Cricetulus griseus: one gene and its partner. The protein of the gene in region 2 purifies or fractionates together with the protein of the main gene of each other region. This does not show direct contact. Links are inferred from orthologs where the notes say so. Each region holds a gene or a part of one and is shown on either strand. Other genes may lie near its edges. The genes, in order: nucleophosmin and Dot1l.

Evidence for each region.
Region 1: the proteins of Dot1l (region 2) and nucleophosmin purify together in Homo sapiens (affinity purification with mass spectrometry; 3 studies listed by BioGRID and IntAct, with this or other methods). This does not show direct contact. The link is inferred for Cricetulus griseus from reciprocal best matches to the Homo sapiens genes DOT1L and NPM1.

What each region holds. Positions count from the first base shown.
Region 1 is NC_048600.1:48,339,530-48,356,058, forward strand, and holds the start of nucleophosmin, read right to left. Parts: upstream 9,736-16,529; 5' UTR 9,620-9,735; coding exon 9,562-9,619; intron 8,103-9,561; coding exon 8,023-8,102; intron 7,620-8,022; coding exon 7,500-7,619; intron 7,294-7,499; coding exon 7,200-7,293; intron 6,932-7,199; coding exon 6,825-6,931; intron 6,736-6,824; coding exon 6,674-6,735; intron 3,005-6,673; coding exon 2,947-3,004; intron 2,726-2,946; coding exon 2,642-2,725; intron 1,546-2,641; coding exon 1,444-1,545; intron 1-1,443. UniProt on the Homo sapiens protein: Involved in diverse cellular processes such as ribosome biogenesis, centrosome duplication, protein chaperoning, histone assembly, cell proliferation, and regulation of tumor suppressors p53/TP53 and ARF.
Region 2 is NC_048598.1:101,544,775-101,560,833, forward strand, and holds part of Dot1l (histone-lysine N-methyltransferase, H3 lysine-79 specific), read left to right. Parts: intron 1-1,191; coding exon 1,192-1,235; intron 1,236-3,782; coding exon 3,783-3,857; intron 3,858-5,744; coding exon 5,745-5,808; intron 5,809-7,535; coding exon 7,536-7,764; intron 7,765-10,149; coding exon 10,150-10,244; intron 10,245-10,683; coding exon 10,684-10,746; intron 10,747-14,841; coding exon 14,842-14,897; intron 14,898-15,477; coding exon 15,478-15,557; intron 15,558-16,059. UniProt on the Homo sapiens protein: Histone methyltransferase. Methylates 'Lys-79' of histone H3. Nucleosomes are preferred as substrate compared to free histones. Binds to DNA.

The DNA of each region.
Region 1 (16,529 bases), on a different chromosome or scaffold from region 2:
TGTTTTCCAAGAACCTAAGGTACCATACCATTTACCTAGAAACCAACTGAAGTTAATAGTAACCCCTTACTAACAGCACAAATTGGACATTTTGTTCCAATTATGAATGTAGGCAATGATTCACAATCAGTAATACCTAATAATTTGTCATCAAATTCATAAGGTAACTAGTTATTGCCTAGCTACCTTAATTTAAATCAGCATAAAAATTAGATTATCACTACAAATTATCATCCCTCATGTAATACCACTTAAAATTTTAGTTTTGCACCCTGTTTTATGCATTTAGCAAGAATAAGGCTTCCAAATATGAGACTCAATTGCCTCCATCACCTAGAAAATAAGTCACTATAGTAATTTTAAAATATTGTCACATACATCCTTATTTGGTTCATTCAAAAATTTATTGAGCAACTAAGGATACAAAGGTATTAAAAACATGGTCAGAGATGAGGCATATGCACAAGTGTAGAAAGCAGTAAAGTTCTCTGCATCACAAGAGTGAAAAGAAAAATGCTTTAGGAAAACAAAAGATTGCTTCCAACGTGCAAGGGGGGGGGGAATGGATGGCCAATCAGGAAAGGGGATTGAGATTAAAATAGAAGACTTCAGTCTGGATTGTTGATGGTACTCAGTATGGGCTATATTTGTTTCTCCTTTTCCTCTTTCCCCATCTTTGGGCTTAATTTACCAGTAGTGCCCAGGACTGTTCAATGCGCCTGCAATTAAATCAAGGAGATAGGACCACATTAAAATGGGGGGGAGGGGCACCATTTTAGCAGTGTATGCAAGGGATAAAAATAAATCAGTGAGTGACAACACCAGGAAAGCTAAAAAGTTTACAGTGTAAATATGTGCTGGCACTACAGTGCTAATTTCCAATCCATTGGTGGCTTCACAAAGGAAGAAAACCTGAAACCATTTGAGGCCTATAGGACAGGAAAAAACTTGAAAAGAACAATTTTTCCTATAATTCCACATTTGTTCCAAATGTTAGAATCACAATTTAGAGAATCTTCAAGGGAAAAAAAACCACTGGATTGACTATTCCATTTTCCACACCCCAGGTCCGTATATAAATTCCAGGTCATGGACTGGGGATACTTTGGTATAGAGGGCACAGAAATAATTCAATTGCTGGGAAATGCTTAAAAAAAATGATCCTTTAAAGGTATAATCTCATGCAGCCAAAGACTTCTTTTCTAGCAGTTTAATTTTACTAAAGTCCAAACGCCCTCTGCTGGTTCTATAGCATAACCCCAGAAAAGGCAATATTCACTTATGTTAAGCTTTAAAATCAGAATACATCCTTGCACTTTATTGTAGCAAAATCATCCATCTATGCACAAGATTATGAATATACCTATTTCTATAATCTATTTTTTACCCACCCTCCATACATAGTAGGGAAAAGAGCAATCCATTATTGGTAATTTTACTCACTTTTTCTATACTTGCTTGCATTTTTGCCTTAATGTCTTCTACAGAACTAGGTCCTTTTGGGGTTTTAGGAGTTTTTTCCTGTTTTTTGAAGGACTCTTGACCCTGGAATAAGTTAATTAAGGCAATTAGAGTACAGTTCATAATTATAATTATGACTTCCCAATTATTTTTACAATCTCTTCTAGATAAAGTATGGAGACACTGCTTTACATGTAACTTTATACATTTTTCTGATTTTAAGATTGTTCCTAGCCTTTAATCTCAGCCTTTCAAAGGCTGAGGGAGGATTGTAGCTAGTCAGAAAGCCAGTCTCAGCTAGCTGACTCTCAGACAACCAAAATGATCATTCTTTTAAAACAATGATTGTCAGGAAAGATACCTCAAGGTTAACGTAAACGCACCTGATGCCAAACCTGATAAGCATCTTTTTTTAAAAAATATTTATTTATTACATGTACAGTGTTCTGCCTGCATATTGCTTGCAGGCCAGAGGAGGGCACCAGATGTCATTACAGATGGTTGTGAGCCATCATGTGGTTGCTGGGAATTGAACTCAGGACCTTTGGAAGAACAAGCAGTGCTCTTAACCACTGAGCCATCTCTCCAGCCCCATAAACATCTTTTTTTAATAGCCCTGGCTGCCCTGGAACACTTTTCAGCTTCTTCATCAATGCTTGGGATGGGGGAACCCTGACAGGCATCTTCCAACTGTGTTGTCCTGAATTCTACAAAGATTAATTGGCCTTTGTAAGCACACAAGCCATAAAAAATCCCATTATGAAATTATAAACAAAACTCAGAATTCAATAGGTCTCCAAACGAAGCAAGAACTCATACTAGAGCCCACCCCAGAACATGACACTCTTCAGATGAAAGTACTGCACTACAATGTATTATGTAGCCAGGGTTAAGTTCTTTAAATACCAAAGTTTAGGCAGGCTAGGTTTTTTTTTTTAAATTTTATTATGTATACAACATACTTCTTCCATGTATATCTGCACACCAGAAGAGGGCACCAGAACTCATAACAGATGGTTGTGAACCACCATGTGGTTGCTGGGAATTGAACTCAGGACCTCTGGTAGAGCAGCCAGTGCTCTTAACCTCTGAGCCATCTCTCCAGCCCCAGGCTAGGTTAACACAGAATTCACTTTTCTTAACTAGGTCTGTTTATCTGTTTTGTTACCTTGGTACTTACTTTTGATCTTGGTGTTGATGGTTTTAAGTCTTTTCCATTTTGGTTTGATTTTTGTGCATTTTTGGCTGGGGTATCTCGTACAGACTGCAATTAAGAGAATGCAATTAAGAGTATACCCCCTCCAGAGTAGACAAGTGTCCTAAACCATTGTAATAAACATAAAATTTCTTACCTACAAAGTTTAGTCTATTTAGTTCAAAACCAATTTTAATAGGAAATTAAATGAGCCAGTTTTCACTATCAACACTAAGAAATTCTTATCTCTTATTAACTATCTTGACACCCATGGCATGTTATATACTCACTTTCTTCACTGGAACTTTTTCTTCAGTTTCTTCATCATCAAAATCATCATCATCATCACTATAAAGGAAATAAACCAACTTAATTATTTGCTCAATTTGAAAGAAGCTACCTTCAGCCGTTCTATCACAATATTTAATAGACAAGTCAAACAAACAGCACCAGTATTTGAATGGATCAAAAAGTATTTAGATGGTAGTGGTGCACACCTTTAATCAAGGCACTTGAAGGCAGAGGCAGGTGAATCTGAGTTGAGGCCAGACTAAGTTGAGTTCCAGAGTGGCCAGGGCTCTTTAAGCCCTGCCTGGAAAAACAAAAAGGCCTAATTAAGTATCTAACAAATGTTACTCAGCCATTTAAAAAGAAAAATCAAGGTGCTGAAGAGATGGTTCACTAGTAAAAGTACTGGCTTACTTTCTCTTCCAGAGGAACTGGGTCCAAACACCCAGAACCCACATGGCAACTTGTTAAGTTTCAGGGAATCTGACACCTTCACATTTATATAAGCAAAATGTGAGAACACATGAAATAAAAATTATGAAAAGAAAAAAGCAAACAAAAGTCAGCTACTCAAAGGGATAGTGTCTTACTCATAATACTATTGTTACTAAGGGTTATGAAATGTAGTTTTTTGGAAATAGTATCTCAATAAATCAGGAGTTAATAATGCTAAATCGGCAATACTCCAACATACAATTTGTAGTTATTGATAATTAGGATTCAGTTGTTCAAGGAACCTAAGGTAGAAAATAATTATATTCACAAGTAAAAACCCAAGAGTCTCACACTTGGTCTCAGGAATAAGCTACAAAACTTGGAAGCAAATTTTCATTAACAGATTTGATGAGTTAGTTCCTAAGTTTTGCATCAAAAAAAAAAAACCCAGGCTTCCTTAAAATTAAGCTACCCCCTTAATAAGAGCAAAGATGTTAATTGTACAAGCAAGGCAGTGGTAGCACACTCCTTTAATCCCAGCACTTGGGAGGTAGAAGCAGGTGGATCTGAGTTCGTTCGTCTACAAGACCTAGTTCCAGGATATCCAGGACAGCCTCCTCAATAGTCTGAGAAATCCTGTCTCACAACCACCAAAAAGCTTAACATGAGAAGATTTTAGTCCTCTAGGGAATATAAACTGAACATGATACCGCTTTGCCCATGTTACCCTTTAAAGAGGTAACTTGAAGAACTTCCATATACTGCTGACAATGACCACAGCAACAGCATATCCACAAGAAATTCTCAGCCCATAAAAATGTAATCACTGTCAAAAATCAGTTAAGTCACACACAAATGAATAGGATTCTATGACTTAATTCCTTGAAAAGGCCAATCTACAAAATTCACAAGTAGCTAACTACAGCTTAAGGAATACTAGATAAGAGTTTGGCTAGGGAGGTGCACACTTTTAATCCCAGCCCTTGGGAGGCAGAGGCCTCTTGAGTTCATGGTGGCATGGTCTACAGAATGAGACCCAAGACAGCCAAGGCCTGTTGGGAGGAAATGCACAGAATACAAACCTGCAGTAAAATTTTTAATCTGTTCTGAATCTATAGCTGTTGTCTTAATGCTTCTCCTTTCCTTGAGACAATCAAAGCTCTTCTGCTTTTTTCATTCTAGTGTATGCAGTGTTTGGCAAGGCTTACTTTATTGGCTCTCCCTAAACATTTATTATGTGCCATGAGAATTAAGCTGCCAGATTGCAATTAGCAGAATCCACCTCCAACTACTTGAGTGTTATTACCTCAAAAAAGGAGCTGCTTCTCACTTTCACAATCTAGATAGATCTGAGATGATCTGGATCCACATGACATTTGCTTAAAGTGTGTAAGTACAAAATGGTCTTCAGACACAGTAAGTCTTTTAAAAGGGAGTGAATCACATTACAGGGTAAAATCACTTAAAGTATCTTTAAGTATATATATTTGAGTACACATGTATAAGTTGGGGCTGGAGAGATGGCTCAGCGGTTAAGAGCACTGGCTACTCTTCCAGAGGTCCTTCCAAGCAACCACATGATGGCCCAAAGCCTTCTCTTGATATCTGGTGCCCCCTTCTGGCCTGCAGGCAGAACACTGCATAATAAATTCTAAAACATAAATTCAAAGTTTTAACTATATCTGCATTCAATCTATAAGTTCTACCAACATTGGCCACAGATTTCCACACTAGTCTCATTAAATTGAAAAGCACGAACTTCACATATTAATGACCTTTTCAGTAGTGTGGGAAATCATCTCATTATTATACCATGATGTCAAAAGCCACATGTAAATCCAATGCTTTGGTAGTTTTTTTTTGGGGGGGGGTTTCAAGACAGGGTTTCTCTGTGTAGCTTTGGAGCCTATCCTGGCACTCGCTCTGGAGACCAGGCTGGCCTCGAACTCACAGAGATCCGCCTGCCTTTGCCTCCTGAGTGCTGGGATTAAAGGGTCGCCCCCAACGCCCAGCGCTTTTGGTAGTTTTTAATGCTGGCTTTTAACATACTGCCATTATTGGTCTTTTTATATAAATATAAATATATATACATATATAATTTGAATTTTGGGGAACTTTAGCTGTGCTGTCAACTTTGGAAAAGTATCCCAGTTTACTGCGCTGAGTTGGCATTGTACAAAATTAGCAGCCATATTGGTCTAGAAATGTTTAACTTTTTTTCCATTTGTACAGAGGTAACGCACTGTATTAAATATGTAAGGTCTTAAAAAAAAAAAGGGATTGAGAGCCCATCCCATGTGAAGGGATGCTCTCTTGGCCTGGACACAGGGGGAAGGGCCTAGGCCTGGCCCAGGATGTGGTAGACTATGGGGAGCCCCTTTTGAGGACCTTACCCTGCCTGGGGAGTGGAGAGGGGATGGCTAGGGGCAGGTGGGATGTTGGGGAGGAGAGGGAGAAGGGATTGACATGTGAAGCTTGTTCCTAATTTGAACTAATAAAATAAAATATTAACTTACAATAAAGAGGCACACCATACATCTGATCAATTGTACCATGATCAAAAATAAAAACCCCCATATAAAGGAGGGGAAGGCTGAAATTATGACAAGTTAGGAAGCAGTTATGTGACAAAATGTTCCTCAGTCTTACATATAAAATATGTGATTGTATCAATAGAAGCAAAATTAATAAAACTGCTATGGCAAAAGCCAAACGAAGAAAAATAAAACAAAAAACAAAAACTGGCTTTAGAACCCAAGAGGCTTTCTCTTAACCAGAAACTTCCAATTTATATATAAAATGAGTTATCTTTTCAGATATCCATAACCGGATATTATCATACAAGGTATTTAGGTAATGTGTAACATTACCTAAAAGGAACCATAGATGTATCATTTTTCATGCATTATTCAGTTTGCTAGTTAATCTATATATTAATACCCACTCCCAAATTTGCTTTCCTCAACAGTTCTTACTTCATACATAATGCTTTCAATAAATAAAACATGACCAATTCCACAACTTCTAACAAGATATTCAAAGATAACTCATGTCAAGACATTTCACATCTGTTACAGGCACAACACATGAAATCTTATTTTAACCTATTTTAAACTCAAAAAAAAAAATCAATGTCCCACTGAAAGAATCACAACCTAACAGGCACAAGTGTCTTCACTTTCAACCATCAATCCTTTTTGTCACTTTTAGAAACTATTGGGGCAAATCAATTTTCCTAAAACCCTTCACAGTGCAGTGTGTCAAGTTTCTAAGACCATACAAACTTATACTTACTCTTCATCGTCTTCATCATCTTCATCATCATCATCCTCATCTTCATCGATTTTTACTTTTTTCTTAAAAGAAAAATGTATTTGTGAGAAAGAGTCATTCCTTAGTATTTAACATATTGAAACCAAAAACATTTCCTAAAAAAAAAAATTACCTGTGGAACTTTGCTACCACCTCCAGGAGCAGATCGCTTGCCAGACATACTTAAGAGTTTCACATCCTCCTCATCTTCATCCTCTGACTCTGCATCTTCCTCTACAGCTGAAATAAGATACTCAGGTGTTATCTTTTTATACATTACCAGATTCCTATTTCAGCATAAGACAACTAAGAACTTTTACAAAGTCCATATTGGAGATCTAGGATGATAGCCAATCTAATTACAAGATCTTTGTGGCTAAACCTCAGTATTCAATCCCAAGGACCCAAGTAGTGGCAACAGACGTCTTCTCTAACCTGGCCAAAACACAAATATTAAAAAAAGCCAGTTCCTAATAGAAATACCAGATTTAAAAACCCAAAAACATACCTACTAGATGCTGTCCACTAATGTGCACAGGCCCTGAACCACACCTCAACCGTAACACCACAGGTGGTGTAATTTCAAAGCCACCAAGGGAAACCTAAAAATGAGCAAATTTCAATCATTAAACATTGTTTTAAGAATGTTTTGCACCAAGCATCACCAACAGAGTTATATAATCAATAAACCTATCTAGAAGCCACAGAGATAATCTCACACTAGATATAACTTATTTGAAACATCTTTGCTTATCCTAAATCAGTCTTAGAGACCAACTTTAAAAACAATGTTTACAAATGTACTTACTGTTGGTTGTACGGACATTTTCAATGTTGCCAGCGTTACTTTAATTGGACTGCCTTCATAGTTCATTGCTTCTGCCTCTACGATGTGTAATTCATCTTTTGCCCCTGCCCCTAAACTAACCTGTGAACAAAAAGAAAGATCCTTCAGTACCCAGTTGTTTTATAAACACCCCTTAAATTTTTTAATTAGCCTCTTCTCACTACTGATAACTAGTCCTCTCATATAATTACGAGATGCATAGACACAAAACACTGTATGTTCCTAAGAAAGCCAAACAACCAATAAAATATAGCCAACAGACTTAAAAAGATCACATCCTGCAGAGCCTTACTAGACAACTAATTATAACAGTGACTGTGGAAAAGACACCCAGTTCTTTGTTACCAGTACATATGTGAACTATTTTAAAGTTATAAAAATACTATTTTTCCATCAGTTAAGGAAGCACAAACTGACATAAATCCCCTCACTTAGATCCAAGTGGCTGAAATCTAATGGCTAATTAATTTCAAAGTTTAAGTACCGTTCTTAGTGACAACTGGTGTTCATTCTCATCATTATCCACCTTAAAGTGATAATCTTTGTCAGCTTTTAGTTCACAACCTGTAAAGAAAAAATAAAATAAATCTAGCAAGATGAACATCACAGTCCCAAACGACCATTAACTTCTACTCTTTTAACTTAAAAATGTTCTCTCCGTGGAATCTACTGTATAAGAAAGCCAATAAAAGTTCTACTTTTTCATAGTAACTCACGACCAATTAATGAGGCACCGTTACCATTTTTTCACAGAAAACCCAATGACCTAAAACTGGATTTTTGCATAGTGGCACCATACCATTATCTAGCACTATTTTTAAAAAACCCAACTTACCTACGTTCTAAAGGAAATTACTACAAATCAACAGTGGTTACACATGACCAGTAGGGACAGCTTAAACCCTTCATGCTTAGAGTACATTAAACATGTACTACTCATTCACGTAGGGGAAAGTGCTTTAAACACTCGGAATTTTGAAAAAATTGACTCGAGTCACTGAAAACCAAACTAATAGACTGTAAAACCGATAAGCTGAATGTGCAGTGACAGTGGGGTCCCCAGAAGCCGAGTTACCAAAGTGATCCCTTAATCTGCTAAACGCGGGAGGCACTTCTCTCTCTTCCCCGGCCCAATCAAAAAAAAAAGACCAGTTGTAGGGAAAAGGATAGTTTCGACTTAAGATTTCGTGGCCCTCTCTTAACATCAAGACCCTTCGACCATCAATATCGTCATCGGCAGCGTGGGGCTGACTCCACCTCTTGCAGAGGCACTAAAGGGTCTCTAAAAAAAAGTCACTACCATCACCGTGGATGCTACAAGATCTTAACAAAGACACGGACGCCACGCGCCACTTTACGCGTTTCCCGCCTAGCACTCCTAATTAAACCACAGGACCCGAAGGACCAGGGTTAAGAAGTGAGGAGAGCCCGGATGTAGAGCCCACACCCCCTCCCTACCCCCAACCACGTGGCAACCACGTGTTCCCAGGGGTTGCGGCCCCCTCAGCCGCAGGGAGCTTGGCCGGCCGAGTCCCTGTCAGCGGCGGAACCTCTCGGATGCACGGGGAGGAGGGGCCGAAGCCCCTGTAAAGCCCAGCGGACTGCACTTATACCGTCCCAACGAGGCGGCGCAGGCCGCGCTCCAGAGGCACCATTATCCCGGGACGCGCCTGGGGCCCAGCGCTGAATTTCAGCTGCCTGTTGCCAGGTCCTGAGGCCTTCTTCACGTATGAAGAGAAAGTGTCGTCACAGCCCCTGCTCGCGCCCCAAGCCAAGTTGGCACCCTCGGCCGACCGCCCTCTCAACGCCAGAGGCTCGAGGCTGGGCCGCTGCCGCCCCAAGCTACGGTCCCGCTCAGCGCCCGGGCCTCGGCTTTCTTCGGCTCCCGCGGCCCAGGCGGTTCCTCCCAGCCGTGCAAAGGCCTCCACCCACGCCGCGCTTGGCACACGCCAGGCCTCAACTGGACTCCCGCCGCCCCCCCAACCACCAGGCCCTGCCCAGGCCCTCCCCGCCAGGCAGTTACCGAAAAGGTAGTTCTGTGGCCTAAGAGGGCTCATGTCCATGTCCATCGAGTCTTCCATGAGGTGGAGACGCGCACTTCGGTATGCGAGATATCGGACGGAGGAAACTGCCTACTGCTCCTCAGAACAGACAAGCAGGACGGAATCACGCCAGGGAAAGGACGCGGGCTCGCCGCACGTATATATGGCCGCAGCAAATCTCGCGAGATCTGCCCTAGTCCCGCCTCCGCGAGCGTGCTCCGGATCCCCCACTTCCCGCACTGTCTCGCTCTTGCGCAAGCGCTGTCCTATCCCACGCCTCTCTACCTCCCCTCCCCACCTCTTCCAGGTGCTTGGCGGGCTCGCACTACGCACGCGCGTCCTCCCTCTGGCCCCGCCCCTCCAGCGCGGTTGCCCGAGCGCAGGCGCACTTTCCCTTTGTAACGCGCTCCAGCCCTCCGAAGCTACCACGTTTCGGCTTCTCCACGCGGGCCCTGCGCGGAGAGGCTGCGCAGCCCACCCTAAAAGATGGCGACTGCCGGCCGGGAACCAGCGGGCGACTCCCTTCGCTGTTCTTCGCCCTCCGGTTCTCGGTAGACCTGCAACAGGCATAATCTCAGGATTTGACCTCCTCGAAGGCTTGGTCTTATTTTATCCTTTTCCCATAGAGCTTCAGGAGCCAAAGGCAGGACAGACGGATCATTAGTAGAATGATTCTCTGCTTGCCACTTTGTCAGCCTTTTTTTTTTTTTTTTTTTTTTTTTTTGTGGTTTTTCCACACAGGGTTTCTCTGTAACAGCCCTGGTTGTCCTGGAACTCACAGGCTGGGTTCAAACTCCCAGGGATCCGCCTGTCTCTGCCTCCCGAGTGTTGCGATTAAAGGCATTCGTCACCACCGCCCGGCATCAGCCATACTTTTTATACCTCTTTTCTGAGGCAGCATCTCCAAAGTCTTAAGTTCTCAGCTTTACGTCATTCGAGGGCCAAAGAGCACCTTTCTAAAAGTTTAGAGGTGTGTGCAGAATTGAGAACACGCAGGTCATCCTTATCATTCCAAATGAAGGCATATGACTTCTAAGAAATACAGGAGCCTTGATTAGAATCTTTGGCTGGGAAATAGCATTTTAAACTGCGTCCCGACAAACATCCCTCAACATTGGGTGCGTACTGAGAGCAGCCCTAATCTTTTTATCTCAACATAGCTAGCAAATGAAAAGGTTACTGGGAGGAATGTGAGTAATGGTATTCATGCCCCCAGACTCTTTACTCCAGAGATGGTCCAATTGGGAAGACCAGTTGAGTATAAAACGTATGAGCAGATTATTAACCAAATCCTAAATTTGGGGGGGAAAAAATCAGCCTCAAGATGTGAATGGGGCCCAGTGAATTTCCACTTTACAACTACTAGAGTAAATCCTGAAACTTGGAAGTACTGTCTATGTAAGCAACTGAGATAAACGGGAAAAGGGAAAACCACAAGTGAGCAGTCTGGCCATTCAAAATTCGAAGGCTTCTAGTCTAGGAGGGAGAATGTTCTTAGAGCCAGGGCGGGTCAAAAAACTACTTCATTGTTTCCTAGATTCTGGATCATTTAAACACAGCACATGCAGGGGGTTGGGGAGAGAGAAAAGCCTTTAATCCCAGTACTCAGGAGGCAGAAGCAGGGAGATCTCAAATGTTCAAGGCCAGACTGGTCTACAGAGCGGGTTCTAGGACAACCAGAGCTACACAGAGAAACCCTGTCTCCAAAAACAAACAAAAGAAACACATCTAATGCAGACACTAAACTATTTGGGAGCTATCACTAATGAAAACACACTTGTTGCAACATTTCAGGCACCTTGTCTAAATATAAACTCATGGGATTGAAGGATTAGGAGTTACACAGACTCCCTGTTGGGCAGACCGATAGGGAGAGGGGCTAAGGCGAGATAATAAAGCCATCTCCAAGATGGCCAGCTTTTTCCTTAACCACCTACCTTGAGACAAAAGGCCTTGTAGGCTATTGTCTCCCACCAGCAGGCCTCCTCCTGACAGACAGGCTCAACAAGTTCAAGGCCTGCTCAGGACATCACACAACAGTTCTGGAACAATCAAATGCCCTAACTTTCTTCAAACTGACAAACCATAAATTAGGGGAGGAAAACTCTTCAGAGACTTAAAATCCCAGCCCTGGACAGGGGGCTGGATTTTCCAGCTTCACAGAGGGTCTTTTCTCTGTGTGTCTCTGCATACATAGGCTTCCTCACCACCAATAAACACCTTCCTGATCCTGTCTGCAGAGTTCTCTGCTGCTACATGTTGTACTTCAGATTTTTCCTGCCTTTAATTCTTTAACTGTCAGAGAAAATAAACCTAATCAAGACCCCTACACTGTATCAGAATCATGGATTTGTTTTGTTTTTTTAAGTGTTTATTTGTAGTAATATTTATGATTTATTAACGCATGCCTGAGGATTCAGAAAGCAAAGTTAGCCATGAGCCACAGAAGCCAGGCACACACCTTTATTCCCAGCAGCCAGAAACTAGGAGGTGGTGGTACACACCTTTAATTTTAGGATTAAGAGGTAGACAGATCTCTGTGAGTCCAAGGCCACCCAGATCTACACAAGATAAACAGCTCACACAAAGATGATCTCAGCACCTGGGATCACACGCCTTTAATCCCAACATTAGTGAGGTATATAAAACACAGGATCAAGGTCTCAGTATTAAACATTCATTCTCCAGTCACACTGAAAATAGGAGCATTCATTCTCCATCCATATTGAGGATTCTCAAGCCATGCTGAGGAGAGGCAGCAGGATCAGCCCATTCAGCCTGAGGTAGTGGCCCACTACTTTGCTTTTCTGTTTTTCAGCTTGAAGTTTGAACCCCAATATCAGTCTCTGGGTCTTTTATGTTTTGTGTTACATTTGTTAAAAATGTATTTTTAAGCCAGCCTTAAAATGGTGGTGCATGCTTTTAATCCCAGCACTTGGGAGGCAGAGGCAAGTAGATCTCTTGAGTTTTGGGCCACCTGGCCTACAGAGTTCCAGGACAGCCAGGGCTACACAGAGAAACCTTGTCTCAAAAAAATAAGCAAAACCTGTGTTTTTAAGGTAGCCATAAAAGAATGTTTATTGTCTTTTTCATTGCAATTATATAGGCCTATGCAAATTGAAACATATATAATATAATGTCTCAAAAAACAAAAATAATAATAGTAAAATAAAAATAATCCCAGCACTCAGGAGGCAGAGGCAGGCAGACCTCTGTGAGTTCAAGACCAGCCTGGTCTACAAGAGCTAGTTCCAAGACAGCCTCCAAAGTCACAGAGAAACCCTGCCTCAAAACCTGCCCCCCCAAAAAAGAATATAGTCAAATTGTACCTTAGTATCTTTGTACACATATCCTTATGAATACCCTAACACAGCTTAATATGATAATAATCTCAAAAATGGACTTGTACAGAACTGACAGCAAAATAAATATTTTCTGCACAGCAAAGGCCACACAATTACCAGAGCGGAGAAACACATCACAGAATGAAAGAAAATGCTTGCCAGCTATTCCTCAGACAAACAACAAATCTCTAAAATATAACTAAAGACCTTAATAATGATAAGTTAGTCAAAATGAGAAATAGATATTTCTCAAAAGAAAAATATTAATCATAAATATATGAAAATGCTCAATATCATTATTCATTGAGGGTATACAAATCTAATCACAATGGGGGCCTCTTAACCCCAGTTAGAATATCTACTGTAGAAAAGAAAACTTACTACAGGTTTAGATGTTGGCAAAATGAACATGTACATATATTTTGTGGGAACATGAATTAGTAGAAACACTAAAGAAATCTGAAGGTTCCTCAAAATTGAATTTACAGTGATTTGGTTGCATCCCTTTCGGGTATATGTTTGAATCAGCATACAATACAGATACCTGTGTGCCTATGTTTGTTGAGTTGTTATTCACAGTGACTAAGAAAATGGGATTAGATAACAACATCATATGAAGCTGTGGGAAGTGTTGGGGAAAGAGAAGGCGTTTTGGTTTTTTTGTTTGTTTGTTTGTTTGTTTGTTTGTTTGTTTGATTGATTGATTTGGTTTGGTTTTTTCAAGACAAGGTTTCTCTGTGTAGCTTTGGAGCCTGTCCTGGAACTGGCTTTGTAGAGCAGGCTGGCCTCAAACTCACAGAGATCTGCCTGCTTCTGCCTCTTGCTAAGTACTGGGGTTAAAGGTGAGATTAAAGACTAGTGCCTAGGTATATTTTTTTTAAGATTTATTTATTATGTATACAGGTTCTGTCTGCGTGTATGCCTGCAGGCCTGAAGGCACCAGATCTCATTACAGGTGGTTGTGAGCCACCATGTGGTTGCTGGGAATTGAACTCAGGACCTTTGGAAGAGCCGCAGTGCTCTTAACCACTGAGCCACCTCTCCAGCCCTAGTTTTTTTGTTTTGTTTTAAATTGGTTTTTAATGCTTCCTGAGGTCCTGCTTTGGACTCTGAGCCCAGAGACCTGAAAAGCAAACAGATATAAATGGACTTTCATAGTAAAAGGGCAGAAACCTGCAAGTATATGTTCATGAAGTACAACCTCTTACTTTTTGCAAAAGGAAAGCCATGTTTTACTTGAGCTCTCCTTGCCCTCCTGCCACCTGCCTGCACGTTGAATGTCTCTGTATGATACAACATACTGAGGTACAATGAGTAGGACAGAATATGTACTATCTTTTTTATGATTCCAGGTTTTTATTATTAGTTTTGAGCACATTTTAAAGCATAAAAATTGAATCCTATGACCAACTCTCTTTTTCAACAGTTTTCATATACATATGGCATGCTATTTAATATACATCTTTCCACCTGCAGATTTGAGTATTGGCAGGAGGATAGTTCTGGAACTAGTTGATCTCTTGTGGGCACCAAGGGACAACTGTATAACTGTATAGCACATGACTACAGAAATATGAAAAGAAATGCCCAGATTCACCGGGCGGTCGAGGCACACACCTTTAATCCTAGCACTCGGGAGGCAGAGGCAAGTGGATCTCTGTGAGTTCGAGGCCAGCCTGGAACTCAATTAAAAATAAAGTGAAAAGAGAAATGTTTTCTCCCCAAACCTTCTGAGCATATCAGTAGACAGTGGTCATGTAGGCACACAGTTTCTCTTAGATAAGCGCGTAGGAACAGAAAGGCTAAGTCATTTGGGAAAATCTACACTTAATGTTTCAAGGACCAGGCAGTGGTGGCACTTTAATCTCAGCACTCAGGAGACAGAGGCACGTGGATCTCTATGAGTTCAAGGCCAGCCTGGTCTATTGAGTTCCAGGATAGCTAGGGCTACACAGAGAAACCCTGTTTCAAAAAAGAAAAGAAAAAAAAATTCAAGAAACTGCCAAACTATTTTCAAAAGTTGTCTCCTTTGCCCCAGCCCCAGCAGCATCTGAGAACAGTGCCTGCACATCCGTGCCAACAGTCTCATCCTAGAAAGGCCAGAGGGCTTGTGTGCATCTTAGGTTTTTAATTCCCATTTCCCTGGTCCCTGATTCTGGTGAGCATCTTTTCCAGTGCTTTTTCCTGTATGTGTATTATATTCTTCTAAAAAGTGTGTGTGTGTGTGTGTGTGTGCGCGCGCGCGTGTGCAGATATGACCAAAGAAGGACTTTCAGAGGGGTCAAGGCCATGCTGGGGAAACCCACAGAAACATTTGACTTGAGCAAGTGGGAGTGGAGTGCACGGACCCCAGACTGACAGCTGGGTAACCAGCATAGGAATGAACCAGGCCCCCTGAAGGTGGGTATCAGTTGGGAGACCAGGGCAGTCTTTGGAGCCTCTGGCGTGTGGAACCAGTGTTTATTCCTAGTGCACGGACTTTGAGAGTCCATTCCCTATGGAGGGATACTAGATACATTGGGGAGGGCCTGCCCCAATGATGTCACAGACTTTGATGAGCCCCCGTGGGAGGCCTGACCCTCCCTGGGGAGTGGGATGGGGGGATTGGTGAGGGGCTTGGCAGGACTGGAGGGAGAGGGACCGGGGATTGGTATGTAAAATAAGATTGTCTTTAAATTGAGAGAGAGAGAGAGAGAGAGAGAGAGAGAGAGAGAGAGAGAGAGAGAAGACTTTCAATGTCCTCCCTTTTTTAAAAGATTTTATTTATTTATTATGTATACAACATTCTGCTTCCATGTATATCTGCACACCAGAAGAGGGTATCAGATCTCATAAGGGATGGTTGTGAGCCACCATGTGGTTGCTGGGGATTAAATTCAGGACCGCTGGAAGAACAGCCAGTGCTCTTAACCTCTGAGCCCTCTCTCCAGCCCAAGTGTCCTACTCCTTAATCCTCTTCCTTATTCTCTTGACAGAGTCTCTCACTAACCTGGAGCTGCCCCCACAGTGCTAGGGTAACAGGTGCATGGGAGAATTTTTATGTAGACACTGGGGATTCAAACACAGGTCCTCATGCTTACACAGCCTGCCATCTTCCCAGCCTCCCATATATCTGCTGAAGTCTGTTCAAGTCCTTTGCCCTTCTCTTGTCATTTAAAAATAAAATATTGACTAGGTGTTCTCTGTCTGACTCCCCACAGTCCTGAGTTACATTTTTCATCTTACACTGACTCAAGGGGGAGAAGTTTCCCATTGTGGACACAGTCTTTTTTCATTCCTTTCCTTTGTAAGTACTCTGTCCCCCAGCCTGTAACTTGCCATTTCATTCTCTTTTGTTGTCCTTGTTTTTATTCAAGCATGATGGCACACCTTTAATCCCAGCACTCAGGTGGCAGAGACAGTGTTTTCTGTATGTTTGAGACCAGCCAGCCTGGTCAGCCAGAGCTATGTAAAGAGATCCTTTATTTAAAAAAAAAAAAAAATGACAAAATAAAAACTTTTGAGTGATGGAAGCTTTTATTTTGAGATTTCTTTTGTCTTCTCTGAGACAGGGTATGTAGCTCTGACTGACCTGGAATTCTCTGTGTAGACTAGGCCTGGGCTTG
Region 2 (16,059 bases):
ACCACAGACCTCAGAATCGATCCCACAGAGTGGAGCTTAGGTGACCTCTGAGTTCACTGGGGTTATTTACTGAGTGTGAGTGACTCAAAGGCAGCTTGGCTCCGGAAAGAGCACCCTGACATGGTGACTTCTGGGGTTCCCTGCAAGACTTGGCCAGCTGCCTGCTTTAGTCTGTTCTCTCAGCTCTTGTGGATCATGGGAGTTTCACAAACTTCCTGAGCCCTATAGGTTATGCTTCCAGACGTAATGCGCCCTCCCCCCAGCCCACTGTCTAAGTGGGGCCATTACCACACAGCCACAGTGGGAGACTGTTCAAGACTTTAGGTTGAGGGGACACTTGGCCCACACCAGTGTTCGTGGGCTATGTTGAACCTGCTAAGATTTTTTTAAAGATTTATTTATTTATCATATATGCAATGCATGCCAGAAGGCACCAGATCCCATTACAGATGGTTGGAAGCCACCATGAGGTTGCTGGGAATTGAACCCAGATCCTCTGGAAGAGCAGTTGGTGCTCTTAACCTCTGAGCCATCTCTCAAGTCCCCCATGGGCTATGTTGAATGTTCCCTGTCACCTGTGACCTATGACTGTGCACTGGACAGGGTCAACTGGAGTCTATAGCTCCTCTGTGGCAAGAGGTGATGACCAAGACTTGGGCAGAGCTGGGAGAGAGCCTGGGCCCTGGGGAGCCTGCCATGATATCTGTCTGCTCTCAAGAGACACTGTCAACTGTGGCCTTTGTCATCCCAGGTGGGGTTGTGCAGTGTGCAGTGTGTGGAAGGGTGGAAAGCTCCCATGGCCACTGGCCGGCCCAGGGAGGGTAGGAGCCCTGCACCTACTTCCTTTCGTCATTCTTCCCTCTGTGGCTTTTTGTCAGTGTAATTGGCATCTGTGGGCTTCATCTCATGTTGGCAGATTGAGATCTGGCCTTGCGTGGTCATGCTGGGGCAAGGCTTGATTTCAGGCATAACACAGTGCTGGCCAGTGGTTGTAATGTTGGGGTCACTGGCCCGATGGGACTCTGCAGGACTTGCCAACACCTGTTGTGTTTGCAGGGGGAACAAAGCTCTGAGTCAGTCCCCAGCTGTGGGGAATCTGGGGTCCAGGCCCTGGGAGTGTGCATCTCAGAACAAGAGGGGGTGTCACTGTGTGCTTGCTGGGGACTGACTCTGCAGGGTTTTCTCTTTCAGGACAAGCACCACGATGCTGCTCATGAGATTATTGAGACTATCCGGTGAGTGCTGCATGGGGTGTGTGGGGAGGGTATGGGAGGGTGGTAAGCTGCTTCCTGAGGTTCACAGCACTTCTACTTTGCTGTCTTCACTGGGGCTTCCTCAGTAGTGAGTAGTGTAGTAGAAGGAGGGGCCCTGGCAGAGACATCAAGCTTCAGGGCAGCCTGCCTCAGCCCTTGCCACACATTGCTTGTCAGAGAAAACCTCAATTGTTTGTTCCCCTGCAATGGCAGGGATGAGCCAGGTCTCATGTATAGCTTCTGAGCTGCAGCCTCCTGCGAGATGGAACTGGAGCGTCTCTGTGTCTCCCAGCTTCCTTCACTAGTCCCCAGCTTTGGGTGGATTAGAGAAAGACAGGAGTTTGTGAGGTCTACTAAGGTCTGATGTTGCTGGGGGGCGGGGGGTTGCTCTATTCTGATACCTACAGAGGCGTGATGCCAGGGAGGCTGCCTGCTGGGAGGGCTCTGCTGTCCTTCTTCTGGATCTTCTGCCCTCTGAGGCTCTTGAAATCCTGGGCGTAGACTAGTGTGAGAAAAGCCCTGTGGACCACAAAGCCGAGACCCTGGACTCAGGGTTAGATTGCCATTGGGTGCTTGGAGGTAGGGATGGCAGTGCTGCAAAGGGCCAGTGAGTTGGCTGAGCGGGTACAGCACACTTACTGTGCTAGCCTGAGGACCTAAGTTTCATCCCTAGAAGCCTTGTAGGGATGGAAGGAGAAGACTGTCTGCTGGTGTCCTCTGACCCTGCATGTTCTGTGTACCCGTGTCACTCAGTTGTGCTTGTACATCCACAGGTGCATATGTGCACAGTTCCACCCCACCCCACCCTAGCCCCATACACAAAAAAGAACTAAAAGATGTTTAAGAGTCTGGCAGGGAAGGCTGAGACATTTTTGCAGGTTGAGGTGGGGGCTGCAGGTGAAACAAAATCACATTAGGGAGAATGGATGGGATGTGCGCAGAGACAAGATAGTCTGGGATTAGGGCTGGCCTCTGGGCAGGTGGGGACCCCAGCAGATAGACCTAGTAGCATCTCCAGAACCACTTGTTTGCAGTTGTTAGGACAAAAGCCTGGCTTCTGCAGCCCAGCAAGCTGGGCTGGGGCAGCCACTGTGCATGTCAATCATAGTGATGCTGAAAGCAGAGCAGCAGCCTGGGAGCTGGCCTTGTGGGTAAATGAGGACCTGAGCTAAGATCAGATCCCTAGAGCCTACCTAGACAGACATGGCAGCATGGGTCTGCGAGCTCATGGGCCAGGCAGCTTGGTGCAGGTGGTGGTGGTGCATAGGAGACTGTCAGGGTGGAGGGCCGGGGTCCACTCTGTCCTTTACACATAGAGTGATCATGTGGCCACAGACAGACAGCCTGCAGGGTCTGATGTGCTTCATGGTTGACCAGAGGAAGTGTTCCACAATAGCAAGGAAAAAGCCCTACTCCCTAACAACGCCCTCTTCTGTGCTTCCCAAATTCTTCCTCCCCATATCTCCCACGGGAGATGTCATTGGTAGGGAATAGGGATTTTTCTTTCAGTGTAGGACACCCCCCTTTTTATTCTTAAAAATTTTTATCTTAGCACTAGGCATGTTAGCACACAGATCTTTAATACTAGAACTCTGGAGACAGAGGCAGGTGGATCTCAGTGAGTTTGAGGCCAACCTGATCTACAGAGCGAGTGCCAGGACAGCTAGGGCTACACAGAGAAACCATGTCTCAAGTAAATAAATAGATAAACAAACAAACAAATAACTATCTGGTGTATCCTAGGCTAGTCTTGAACATAATAACTATGTAGTCTTGGATGGCCTTGGACCCTTGATCCTCCTGTCAAACCCAGCCTCTCCCCTGACTTTTTTTTTTTTTTTTTTAAATCTTTGTTTTTTGAGACAGGATTTCTCTGTAGCTTTGGAGGCTGTCCTGGAATCTGTAGACTAGATTGGCCTCAAACACAGAGATCTGCCTGCCTCTGCCTCCCGAGTGCTGGGATTAAATGTGTGTGCTACCACTGTCAGGCTCCCCCAACGTTTTTATTATTATTGTGTTTGTAGTTGGTGTATCTGTGTATGCACACATGCCGCAGCACATAGTAGGAGTCAGAGGGCAACTTTGTGGAGTTGATTCTCTCCTTCCACCTTGTGTAGGTCCCAGGATTAAACTTGGGTTCTTGGGTTATGACGCCCACCATTGCTTTTACCTGCAGAGCCATCTTGCCAGCTCCCCTTCCCATTTTTTTTTCTCCTGAGAAAGGTCCCATTATGTACCCCAGTCTGGCCTAGAATTTGGAGTATTTGTGCCTCAGGGCCTCCCACCATTGCTGGGATGGCCAGCTGGTATGTGCCACCAAGCCTGGCTAATATTTTACTTTTTACCATAACATGTGAATTTGTTTCTTTTCCAAGTACCAACACTGTTTGACCTTGGCCTCATAAAAATCCATGTAATTTCTCAGGTGCTTGTCTTTCACACACACACACACACACACACACACACACACGTACGCGCGCGCTCGGAGAAGGGGTCCTAGGCCAGCAGGAGCTCTGTGTTCTATTTTAGGTGGGTCTGTGAGGAAATCCCGGATCTCAAGCTGGCCATGGAGAACTACGTCCTGATCGACTATGATACCAAAAGGTGAGGAGGAAGGGAGTAAGTGGGCTCTGGGCAAGGCTGTCCCTCTGGACTGCCCACACCCTGTTACCGTCTGTGTACACTTGTAGGAGTGTCTGCTGTGGAGTGAGGCCATCCCTGGGAACTCCACACTGAACAAACTTGAGTTGGGAAATGAGCAGGGCTGGTGAGAGAACAGAACAGCAGTCAGTCCTGCCAGAATCTGTCTGGCAGGTGTGGTGAGGCCTCTCCTCCAGGACGGAGTGAGTGGAGAAGAGAAGGCATCCCCAGAATGCTTCCTAGAGTGGGTTTGTCTCCTTTGAGAGAGGCCAGCCTAGACTCCATCTCCTGCTCAGCCTCTCCAGTCTGCCTGCAAAGCCTCGTTTGACCTCTGACCTCATTATTAGAAAGGACTCCTGATATTAGTCAGCCTTGGTGAAGCTGGGTGTGCCCACACACTCCTTGGCACTCTGTCTGTCTGATTGCTTCCTTTTTAAAAGATTTAATATGGCTGGGTGGTGATAGTGCACTAGGGAGGCTGAGGCCGGTGGATCTCAGTGAGTTCAAGGCGAACCTGGTTGGACAAATCGAGTTCCACAGAGAAACCCTGTCTCAAAAAACCAAAAAGAAAAGAAAAAGATATTATGTATTTTTTACTGTGAGTTTGAACATTTGCCTGCTTGTATGTCTGTGTATCTATCATAAGTGAACAGTACCCACAGAAGTCAGAAGAAGGTGTTGGGTCCCCTGGAACTGGAGTTACAGATGGTTGTGAGCCACCATGTGGGTGCTGGGACCTGAACCTGGATCCCTGTGAGAGCAGTCAGTGTTGAGTTGCCTCTCCAGTCCTAATTCTGCTGTCTTTTCATTTGTTCCTTCCTTCCTTCTTTGTTTTGCTCCTCCCTCCCTCCCTCCTTCCCTCCCTCCCTTCCACCTTCCCTCCTTCCATTTCTTTCTTGGAGACAGGGTCTCACAGTGCAGCCTTGGCTGCCTTGAACTTGTCAGGTGACCAGATGATCTGCCTCCGGTTAGAGGTGTGGCCAGCACACCCCAGCCTGCTTTCTCACACACTCTTGTAGCTTGTTTGGCTGGACCCAGGGAAGTTTCCCTGTTCTGAAACAATGCTGTTTAGAAGGAGGGCAGACCTCAAGAGGCCCTGCGGGGACAGAACCCTCTGGTTGCTGCCGCGCCTGGGTGGGATGTGGGTTTCTGTGTAAGGGCCTCTACTCCATCACCCCTTTAGTCTCTGTGTGTATATTTGAGCAGCATACTCACCTCCTGGAGGACAGAGAAACCTGGGTAGCTGTCACCTTCCACCTTGTTTGAGACAGTCCCTGTTGCACATGCCACACCTGTCCCCTTTGTCTTAGAAGCACAGGTCCTCAGATGCCTGCCCCTTTCCAGTTTTACGTGGATTCTGAGGATTTGAACTCAGGACCTCAGAGTCGACAACAGGCACTTTAGCTGCTGAGCCATCTCCCCAGTTCTAGCTCAGTCTTTTTTGGGGGGTGGGGTTCTAGACAGGGTTTCTCTGTGGCTTTGGAGGCTGTCCTGGAACTAGCTCTTGTAGACCAGGCTGGTCTCGAACTCACAGAGATCCACCTGCTTCTGCCTCCCGAGTGCTGGGATTAAAGGTGTGTGCCACCATCGCCTGGCTAACCCAGTCTTCATAGTGACTTGCTCTTTTAGTTTCTCATCTAGTGACACGGTCTGACCATGGAGTTGACACATGGATATAGACCCAGTCAGACTGCCCTAGCACTTGGTCCTGTGGCCAAGGACTGTCTCAGCATGAAGCCTCTGGTGCTTCTGGGATCCCATGCCTCCCTGGAGGCTTTGCCCAGCCCTACCTGTCTGTAAAAGCTGGGTATGCTGCAGCCCACTAATGCTCCCTTTTGTTTTTTTTCTCAGTTTTGAAAGCATGCAGAGGCTGTGTGACAAGTACAACCGAGCCATCGACAGTATCCACCAGCTGGTAGGTAGCTCCCCACTTTCCAGGCTCTCCACTCCCCAGTGGGTTTACATGGTGCCTGCTCCTGGGCCTCCCAGGGTGGCCCAGCACTAGGACCTCTTGGTGGCTGTGAAAGTGGTAGAGAGGGCAGCTGGCACAGTGAGGCATGGGAGTCAGGTGGCAGCAGGTAGAGCCCCAGCTGGCCCCAAGTGGCTTCCTCAAGTAGCTTCTTCAGGTCAGTCTGCTCTGCAGACCCTTCCATCTCTGCCTATCTGCCTGCATGCTGCAGCACAGGGGCAAGTAGTCAGCATTCTCCCGAGCTGGGAGCCAGCCTCCTTCTGCCCTGCAGCTGGCCCCCAGCCTCGGGCCTCTCTCTGACATAGTCTAGTTAGTTCTACCTGTTTGGGGAGAGGGGTGTTCTCCCCCCAATAGAGCCTCATAACAATGTGCCCCACCTCCTGGGGGGTGTATCCTCACAGTAGGGTCTTATACAGCTGTGTTCCACCTGCTGCAGGGGTGTTCTCACAGCAGAGCTGCATAAATGTGTACTCCACCTGCCCACCTTAGCTGACAATCTGGATGCAGGCAGCAGAGCTCAGCAACTGTGCACCCAGGGAGTGCTCTTTCTAGAAGGCACAGGGGTCTCTGGCATTTTAGCAGGTGTTGGGCCACTGTGGGGTTCTGTGGTGTCAGGGAATTCTCCTGTGGAAGATGGGGCTGTGTGGAGAGACTGGGCTAGCACAGGGTCACTTTGTGGCTCCTTGAACTAAGACACTCATGCAGCTCTTCAGTGATGGCCCACTGGGCACTGGTCCTGCCATTGCCACTATACCATGGGGACACCAGCTGAATTAGCTGCATTAGGGCTCCTGTGGGGCAGCAAAAGAGGCTTGGTGACTGGCCCCTTCAGCTGGGCTGTCCTGTCCTGTCACATCTTATCCTATTGCTATGGCTAACAGAGTGTCCATGGCCATGAAACCAAGGGGTAGAGCCCTTCTCTCCTGAGGGAATTATTCCTTCAGTCTGGTGGCTCAGATCAGTAGATGAGTGCCAGGGCATACCACTTGCAGGGCCAGCCTGACAGTCAGGAGTCTGCAGCTAGCTCTTCACTGCTTTCTTCTTGTGAACTTGAATTAAAGACCCTGTCCCAAGGCTAGAGAGTCCAAGGTATGTCCTGGAATGATGCATACCTGCCAGGAAGCCTGGAGTCAGGAGGGGCTTCTGGGACCCCAGGGTTGGGCCTAGGCCATGAGGCTTATGAAGTCTAGTCAGAGTTGACCTTCATATGAGTAACCTAAATGGAGTACATGAGTTTGTGTGGAAGGGTCAGACAGAAGCCTGGCATGCCAGAACTGGCTCTGTGCATTTGTAGGAACACTCACGCTGCTGTGCTTTTCTGTATATGGTTTTCGGGATGTATCCAGTGAGCCACACTCCAGCCCCCACCTTTTGTGTTTATTTGTTTTGAGACTGTGTAGCCCCAGTTGTCCTGGGACTAGCTCTATAGACCAGGCTGGCCTTGAACTCAGAGAGATCTGCCTGCCTCTGCCTCTCTAGTGCTGGGATTAAATGTGTGAGCTACTACCACCTGGCAACCTTTTGCATTTTTGATATAGGATCTTACTTCCTATGTGGTCTATGCTGGCCTTGGACTGCAGTGTTCCCCTGCTTCAGCCTCCCACGTTGTGGGTGTCAGCCAGATGCTGCTGGCTGCGAAGAGTGTAATGGGTCATGTCCACTCTTGTTCCTAGTGGAAGGGCACCACACAGCCCATGAAGCTAAACACTCGGCCATCTAATGGACTCCTGCGGCACATCCTGCAGCAGGTGTACAACCACTCTGTAACTGACCCCGAGAAGCTCAACAACTATGAGCCCTTCTCCCCTGAGGTGTACGGGGAGACCTCCTTTGACCTGGTTGCCCAGATGATTGACGAGATCAAGATGACCGAGGATGACCTGTTTGTAGACCTGGGCAGTGGTGAGTGTCTTGTAGCACAGCCTTCGAGCTGTCCTTGGCTCTCTCAGTGTACCCATGGCTGCACATGAGTGCTCAGGGAGGGTAGCGGCTGAGCTGAGGCTCCTGGCCATCAGTGCTCCTGCTCAGGGCTCTCACCTAGGGCCCTCAGCCCTGCTGGCTCTGTACAACCCTGCACCCTCTTAGGGGCCCCTGGGTCTTGGCTTGTGTGACCAGTGTTCCTGAGGCCTCTGGTCACACTCTGTGCAGCCTCACAAGTGATACACAGCAGGGCTTCTGGGCTGCCTCTGTGGCTGGCTATGGTTCTGATTGTATCCACTTTTCTTGGGGCAAGTCTTAGTTAGGGTTTCAGTTGCTTCAATGAAACACTGTGACCTAAAGCATCTTGGGAAGGAAAGGTTTTATTCAGCTTATACTTCCACATCACAGTTCATCATTGAAGGGAGTCAGGACAGGAACTCAAGCAGGGCAGGATCCTGGAGGCAGGAGTTGATGCAGAGGCCGTGGAGGGTGCTGCTTACTGGCTTGCTCCTCATAGCTTGCTCACCTGCTTTCTTTCTTTCTTTCTTTTCTTTTTCTTTTTTTTTTTTTTTTTTGGCTTTTTCAAGACAGGGTTTCTCTATGGCTTTGGAGGCTGTCCTGGAACTAGCTCTTGTAGACCAGGCTAGTCTTGAACTCACAGAGATCCCCCCTGCCTCTGCCTCCCGAATGCTGGGATTAAAGGCGTGCGCCACCAACATCCGGCGTGCTCACCTGCTTTCTTATAGAATCCAGGATCTGCAGTCCAGGGATGACACCATCTGCAATGGGCTGTGCCCTCCCGACCCATTAATAACTAATTATGAAAGTGTGCCAGGCGTGGTCGCACACGTCTAATCACAGTGCTTGGGAGGAAGAGGGAGGAAGACCTCTGAGTTTGAGACCAGCCTGTTCTACAGACCAAGTTCCAGGACAGTTGGGGCTATACAGAAAAACCTTGTCTTGAACCCTCCACCCTTTCCCCCAAAAAAGAGAAAAGAATAAGAAAAGCCCAATGTCCCACAGGCTTGCCTGCAATCTAATCTTTTTTTTTTTTTTAAGATTTATTTATTTATTTATCATGTATACAGCACATGCCAGAAGAAGGCACCAGATCACATTATAGATGGTTGTGAGCCACCATGTGGTTGCTGGGAATTGAACTCAGAACCTCTGGAAGAACAGTCAGTGCTCTTAACCCCTGAGCCATATCTCCAGCCCGCAGCCTGCAATCTAATCTTATAGAAGGTTTTTTTTCTTTTCTTTTTTTTTTTTTTTTAGTTTTTTTTTCCTAAAAAAAGCACTTCTTTTTAAAAATGTGTTTATTTTGTATAGTGTTCTGTATGTATATATCCCTTCAGGCCAGAAGAGGGTTCCATATCTTATTACAGTAGGTTGTGAGCCACCATACGGTTGCTGGGAATTGAACTCAGGACCTCTGGGAGAGCAGTTAGTGTTCTTAACTGCTGAGCCATTTCTCCAGCCCGGAAGCATTTTCTCAATAGAGACTCTCTCCTTTCAGATGACTCTAGCTTGTGTCAAGTTGACTTAAAACTGTCCAGCACAGGTCTTGTCTCCTGTACCTCATGGGGTGTGAGGTAGAGGCTGGAAAATGCCCAGCTACACCCTCCAGCTCTTTTAGAAGCTGAAGGTGAAGCCTCCTGGATCCCTCTCAGTGCCCTGTAGCTTTGGGGCTCACATTCTCTACCAAACTGTACAGGTTATGCCTCCTTGCCTGGCCCTGTGTCTCCTGAGGCACTGTGTGTCTTCTGGCTTCTCTGCCCTGTAGTTCTGAGCTGCTTGTTACTGGAAAACACTGTCGAGCTTAGAAAGTCAGGTGGTATGTGCTTGCCATCTGAAACATGGAACTGGCCTGCCAAGTGGAGGGTCACCTTCAGATCCTCGACCCTCCATGGCATGAAGTGGTATTGACTGGCCTAGCTTCCCTGCACAGGGCCTGCACGTGCCTGTCGCTGGCAGTTATAGCCTCTGCATTTCTTGTTTGTTTCCCATCCCCGAGCATACCTGTTAGGTCAGGATGCTTGCTGCCCTGACTGGCTATATCTGTCTGTGCCACAGCAGGACCAAGGGGTGACTTAGGCCAAGAATTGCCTTTGTGGGGACTGCTAAGCCTTGTGCATCTATCCCCACATAGAGACAGCCAGGCCTTGCTAACTGCAGAGGTAGAACTGGCAGGTTACAGGTTCATAGATTGCATTGTGGGTAGTAGAGTGGCGCAGACACCCTCTGGTGGGAGGTCTGTGCCTTGATGATGGCCTCCTCGCTGATGCCAAGGGACATTGTTATATGGCTGAGGCTGTGTTTCTATGGAGGCCACAGAGACTCTGACCTATGTCTCTCTGGCTGAAGGTGTGGGGCAGGTTGTCCTTCAGGTTGCTGCGGCCACCAACTGCAAACATCACTACGGAGTGGAGAAAGCGGACATCCCGGCCAAGTACGCGGAGGTGAGCGACCACACGTGTATGCTGCTTGGGGCTTCTGTAGGGTGCAGCTCCTTCAAGCCAAGGGTGTCTGTGTTTATGACACCCAGCACCTTCCAGCAGAGTGCCTGTGTCCCTGGCAGGCTCTGCAGAGCTTCATGATGAGCGTGCCTTGCTGTCCTGGAAAAAGGATGGTGCTGAGCTTCTGAGTTGAGAGGACGCACATATCCCCTGGATGTCCCCCATCTGTTCCTCCCAGGGTGGCTGCAGAGGGTGATCTTGGTGCTTTGTTGGAGGGTTGGGAACCCCTCTTCTGGGTACCTTCCACCACTGTGTGCTCACAACAGGGCTGCTGTAGATAGATACCAGTATTTTGTCTCATGTGATTCTGCAGAGCCTGTGGACCCTTCACCACCTCTGCCTCCCTGAGTTTATAACAGGTCATGTGTTTTGTTTCCCTCAGACCATGGACCGAGAGTTCAGGAAGTGGATGAAATGGTATGGAAAAAAGCATGCAGAATACACAGTGAGTGCCATCGCTCCATGCCCGCGGCCTCCATCCCAGTCCAGCCCTTTTTCCCATCCTCTCTTGACCCCAATCAGTCTTGATGAATGACCATATGGCCCTCTGTGGCAGTGGGCACAGTCTCTGGAGCTGGCTGCTGAGCCCTGATCTTCTTGCTCCCCTGGTCTGGGCACCATCTCTAGACAACATGTGCTGACTGCGGGCTGTGGTAGCAGATACTCAGCTCTACTGAGCTGAGACCTCAAGAATGGGCAAAGTGAACCCCTGCTGAGCTGTACCTGGGTGTAGCCTGTGCGTTAGGGGTCAGGACCCTTGGGTTCTTGATGTGGAGATTTGTTTAGGCTGGCCTGTGGACTGGCTGGGAGGGTCAGGCAGCAGTGACATCCTGTGGTGCCTCTGTGCTACGGGCAGTGGAATGGAACGGTCATGGCCCCGCCTTGGTCTTCATCTGTCATCCTTCCTGCAATTACCCCAACTCACTAGTGCTTTCTTGGTGAAAATTTGCCATGCATGAGGGTCTCGGGAATCTGTTAGGAGAGAGGCCCACTTGACACCTGTGTCTAGGACCCAGGAGATGGGTCCAGATTCTTAAGACTTTGTCCTTTTCATCTTTAACTGGTGGGGCCTGTTGGTTCCACACCCATGTAAAATTCTCAGTCAGGGACACACCTTTCAGGAAGACCCTACCCCATCCTGAGTGGCCTCCTGGTCATTTCCTCTTCTTCCTTAGCTTATCATTGTTAGATGACCTGGCCTATATGGTTGAAGTCAGTGGTGTGGCTGGTAGCAGTTTGCCATGTTGGCTGTTGTCACTGTCAAGCCCTCATGGGCCTCAGTGCTCATGCTGGTGGCCCTTGGCTTGTGGTGGGGAACAGGGCTAAGGCAAGAACAGTTCTTGAGGCCTTGGAGACCATGGGAAGCAACCTGGCAGTAGGAATAGAAAACGGTGATTGGCCTTTGTGTCCACTCTGGCTTCCCACAGCACCTTGAGTGACCATCAGCCTTTTCTAGGAGGCTGTGTAGGCACCTGCCTGGCCTGTGCAGTGCTACAGCTTTGATTTGCAAGCTATGAGCCTTGCCCTCTGCTGTTTAAAAGCATGCAGAAGAAAAGCCAGGGGAGCCTAAAAACAGCCCAGAGGACTTTGCCTGCTTTGTACCAGTGATGCTGCTACCCGCCACCCTCCACTTCCCTACATGCAGCCAAGTCTGCTGACGTGCTCCCTCCAATGGCTGAATCTAGTCTGGCTTTTCCGAACCCATAGCTGCTCCTGGCAGACCTTCCCCCCATCCTTCAAGGACCCTAAACCGGCTTGGGGCAGATTCTGGGCCACACTCCTCCCTGCTGGCAGTGCCTCCTAACATTCCCAGGCTTGGTGACGTCATGTGTTCACATGTGCCTGTCTTCCCATCAGCTGGCAGCTGGGGTTGTGCAGCTTTGTTAGTGAGTTTCTTTCTCAGACGGTTCTGGGTGCTGGGACTCCTGACCCTTTGTAAGCAGTTCCTCTCAGAGGGGTTTGTGGGCTTTGACCCCTGACCCTGGAAGAATAGAGTAGCCTATGACTCCTGGGATGCTGGCTACAGCTTGCTAAGGTGTCCCATGGGCAGCCAGTACTGCTGAGGCGTGCTCATGGGACATGTATCTGAGACTGCGTCAACAGGCCTTAGCTGTCTCTGCTCACTTGCACTCAGACTGAGCTGATGGGTTCTTGAAGTGACTGAGTCTATGGCTGACTGTGACCCCATGAATCTCACCCGTGGTCACCTTTTCTGGCCCTCCCCAGGCTTCTGTGGGGCCTGTGTCAGTCTTCCCCACTTGCTTCATGGATACTGGCCAGCTTCATGTGCCTTCCCTCCCCTCTTGCTTTTTCCATGTTGGTAGGTGTGGCTGTGACATTGTTTCTTGGGGGGATGTGAACAGATGTTTCCCAGATAGGGAATCCATAAAGCCCAGCTTGGAGGATTCTCGAGTTTGACAGGGGCTCCTTATAGGAGGTTGGGTGTGCAGTCACTTAATAGAAACAGTAGTGACTCAGTGACAACTGCATCATCAAGGCCCACCCCAGCATGGGTGACAGCTCAAAAAGTGGGAACCTGGAGTGCACTAGACAGCCTACAGGCAGCACAGCAGGCTGGAGAGCATCCTTTCCAGTTGGCTCAGTAGACCTGAGCCTCTTCCCCAGCAGCCTGGCTGGTGTGACTGTTTCTCAGCAGTCCTTACTGTTCAGAGAAGCCTGGGGAGGGAGGGCCTTGCTCCCTGCGGGGTGAAGTGTATGGAGATTTCCTACACAGTAGCAGACACCTTGCTTCAGGCCTGGCTTCCATCCCAGGCCAGACAGCCAGGACTTTTGAGTTCCTTGCCACAGACACAGATAGTGCAGCTAGCTGGCTCCCCAGACTTCATGACCTGGTTGGCAAGGATAGCACTGGGGCCTGGCTGTAGCGGGAGGAGTGCTGGCTCCACACATGACACAGCTGCAGGGTGAGGTCTGTTCTGGACGGGCCTGCACAGGCCACAGCAGGTACCCATCAGATTCTTGGAGCAGAGCCAGCCCACAGCAGTTTCTGTCTTTGTAGCCATGTTGCAGACCACAGCAAAGGCACACAGCAGAGCCAATAAGGCCATCGGGACTTGCAGAGCTCTTCCTAGCAGTCTCAGGGTATTCTCATCCTTAGATGCAGAGACCCAGTACCTGGGGATTAAGGGGATGTGGCCCCTCTGCTTAGCACATACTCAGCAGCAGGGGTGAGGGGTGTGTGGTCTCTGCTGCAGTGCTTAGCTTAGGAGAGAGTAGGTCTCCTATGCCCAGGTGTTGCCCTGCATTTGAGGGCTGACTGAAGCTTCTGTCCCCAGGCCTGGCTGGTGTATAGCAGAGTAGAGTCAGAGATCTATGAAGCGGGGCTTGGCCTGGGGTGGGCTCAGGGTCTGTTCTGCCTACAAGGCTATGGTCACCCTAGCCCAGGTCTGCTCTGCTCACTGGAAGACAGAGACAAACTTGTCCTAGCAGAGTGGGGAGGTGGCTCTGGGCCTGCCCTGTCATCCTGTCGGTCACCGCCGCTGCCCCCCACCCCCTTCCCACAAGCCTCTGATACTCAAATCCACTTCTGGTCAATGTATTTGCCTGTTGTACCCCACACTGTGTGGCCTCCAGTGCATCAGTCTTTGCTGCTCCTGTTCATTGCCAAGGAGCTTTCTAGCACATGGATGGACTATGCTATGTGTCTATTGTTCATAGATGTCCCTGACTTTTGGACTTTGTAAATAACTAACACCCCCTACCCATCCCCCACCCCCCACCCCGTGACCTCCATGTAGAATGGACTGTTCTTTTCCTGGGACAATGCTTTGAGCTGCAGCTGGTGGGTGGTCTGCAGAACTCAAAACCTAGATTGCTTGGTCTCTAAATGTAGTCAGCTGTTTCCCACTGGTGGTGGCGCACGCCTTTAATCCCAGCACTCCATAGGCAGGTGGATCTCTGTGAGTTCAAGGCTAGCCAGGCTACAAAGTGAGACCGTCTTGGAAAAACAAAAAAAGAAGAAGAAGAATCAAAAAGCTGTTTCCGTGTAACACACACTGACCTGAAGGAGGTGGATTGACATTGGTGCTGACGGACACTGAGGTCCGGGTAGCAGGGCCACATTCATGGGGTCACTTGTGCAGCAAACATGTACTAACGCAAGGTGCACAGAGGTGATCTCATATGTACACACATATGTACAATGTACAATGATAAGTGAGTGACAGAATGGCTGGTCCCGTCTTCCTGGCCACATAGATACATCTCATGTCTGTAGGGTCTGCAGATGGCCTATGTGATGCTGCTTTTCTTGGGACACACTCTGGGGTTAGAGAGGGCTGGCTGGCCAGGCACATGCACAGTGGTTCCTCACCTGGACCCATACCATCCTCTTGTCTGTCCCGAGAGGGTGTTGCTTTCTTTGTGCTGGGGGTCAGGCCTTACCCTCTGCAGAGCTATCCACTGGCTGTCCACCGTCACCTCACCCCAAGATCCAGATCATCCCATGTCTCACAGCAGCTATGGGGGCTGGGTTTGAACCAAGTAAGCCCGTGAGTAAACGTGTTCCTTTCTTTCTTAGCTGGAACGAGGTGACTTCCTCTCAGAGGAGTGGAGGGAGCGGATCGCCAACACGAGGTACGGCCGGCTGTGGGCCGTGCTGCTGGCTGTGCTGGGGTCTCTGACTGTTGCTCCCCAGATGTGGGTGACTGCTGTGGAGGGTACTGTGGGGTGCTGCTTCAAGAGTGCTGGCCTCTCTCTGGGCCTGAGCCAGCTGCTGTCTCACATGGGATGTGGCAGCTCCTGTGCTACCCTCGTCATGGGGTCTATCGGGAGGAATCTAGGTGTTTGGGGGCTTCACCCCTGTGTTTTCTGTCGAGGGGGAGGGTGGTGCCTACCTGTTGCATTGCACCTGCCTGCTTGTCAGTGTTTCTCTGTGTTCATGCCCTGTGCTTGCCCCGTGTTCTGTGAGTGGTCCTTCCCTGGATGCTGTTGACAGGGAGTGCTTCCAGGAAGCCCGCTTTATTTCCGAAGCGCCAAAATTCAAAACAGGTGTCTTATACCTGTGTCCTGCCCCAGCTTTCCTGCTTACTCTGCTCACCTCAGGTGGGTGGCGGGGAAGGGGGACTGCACCTGGCAGGGACCAGCAGCAGGCTGTGTCCAGGCTGGGACTTGATGTGCACAGCCAGTTTTACTGAACTAAAACATTGTTTTGCAGTGTTATATTTGTGAATAACTTTGCCTTTGGTCCTGAGGTGGATCACCAACTGAAGGAGCGATTCGCAAACATGAAGGAAGGTAACGCAACCCTCCTGCCCACAGGCCTGGTGCCACCACCCTCTCTGGGGGGACCACACAGTTACATCACTCTTCCTTTAGAAGTCCTCAGCAACCTTCCCTATTCATGACGGGTAGTCCTTGGAGGCCCTGAGCCCCGGCTGTTTCCTGGCAGCCTTCCCCAGCCCCTGGGCTGCAAGGCAGAAGTAAGGGCCTGATGGCTGAAGGCCCTGGTGCCCCAACATACTCCCAGCAGCCAGCAGATAGGTTGAAGGGCTAACCCAGCTCAGAAGCAGTCTCTTGTGAGCACCCATACCAGGGCCCCTCGCTTGTGAACTTAGGTTCTACCTGCGTGTGTGTTTGTGCCTGTCAGTTTCTTGTGACAGAGAGCTTCAGAATGAGGAATTGCATAGAGCACATGCTGCCCGTTGCATAGGGCCAGGGCAGCCTGTACTATCCACTGCTGTCACGATTCAGGGAGCAGGGACACCCAGACTTTCCGGCTTTTTAGTCTGATTTCCCA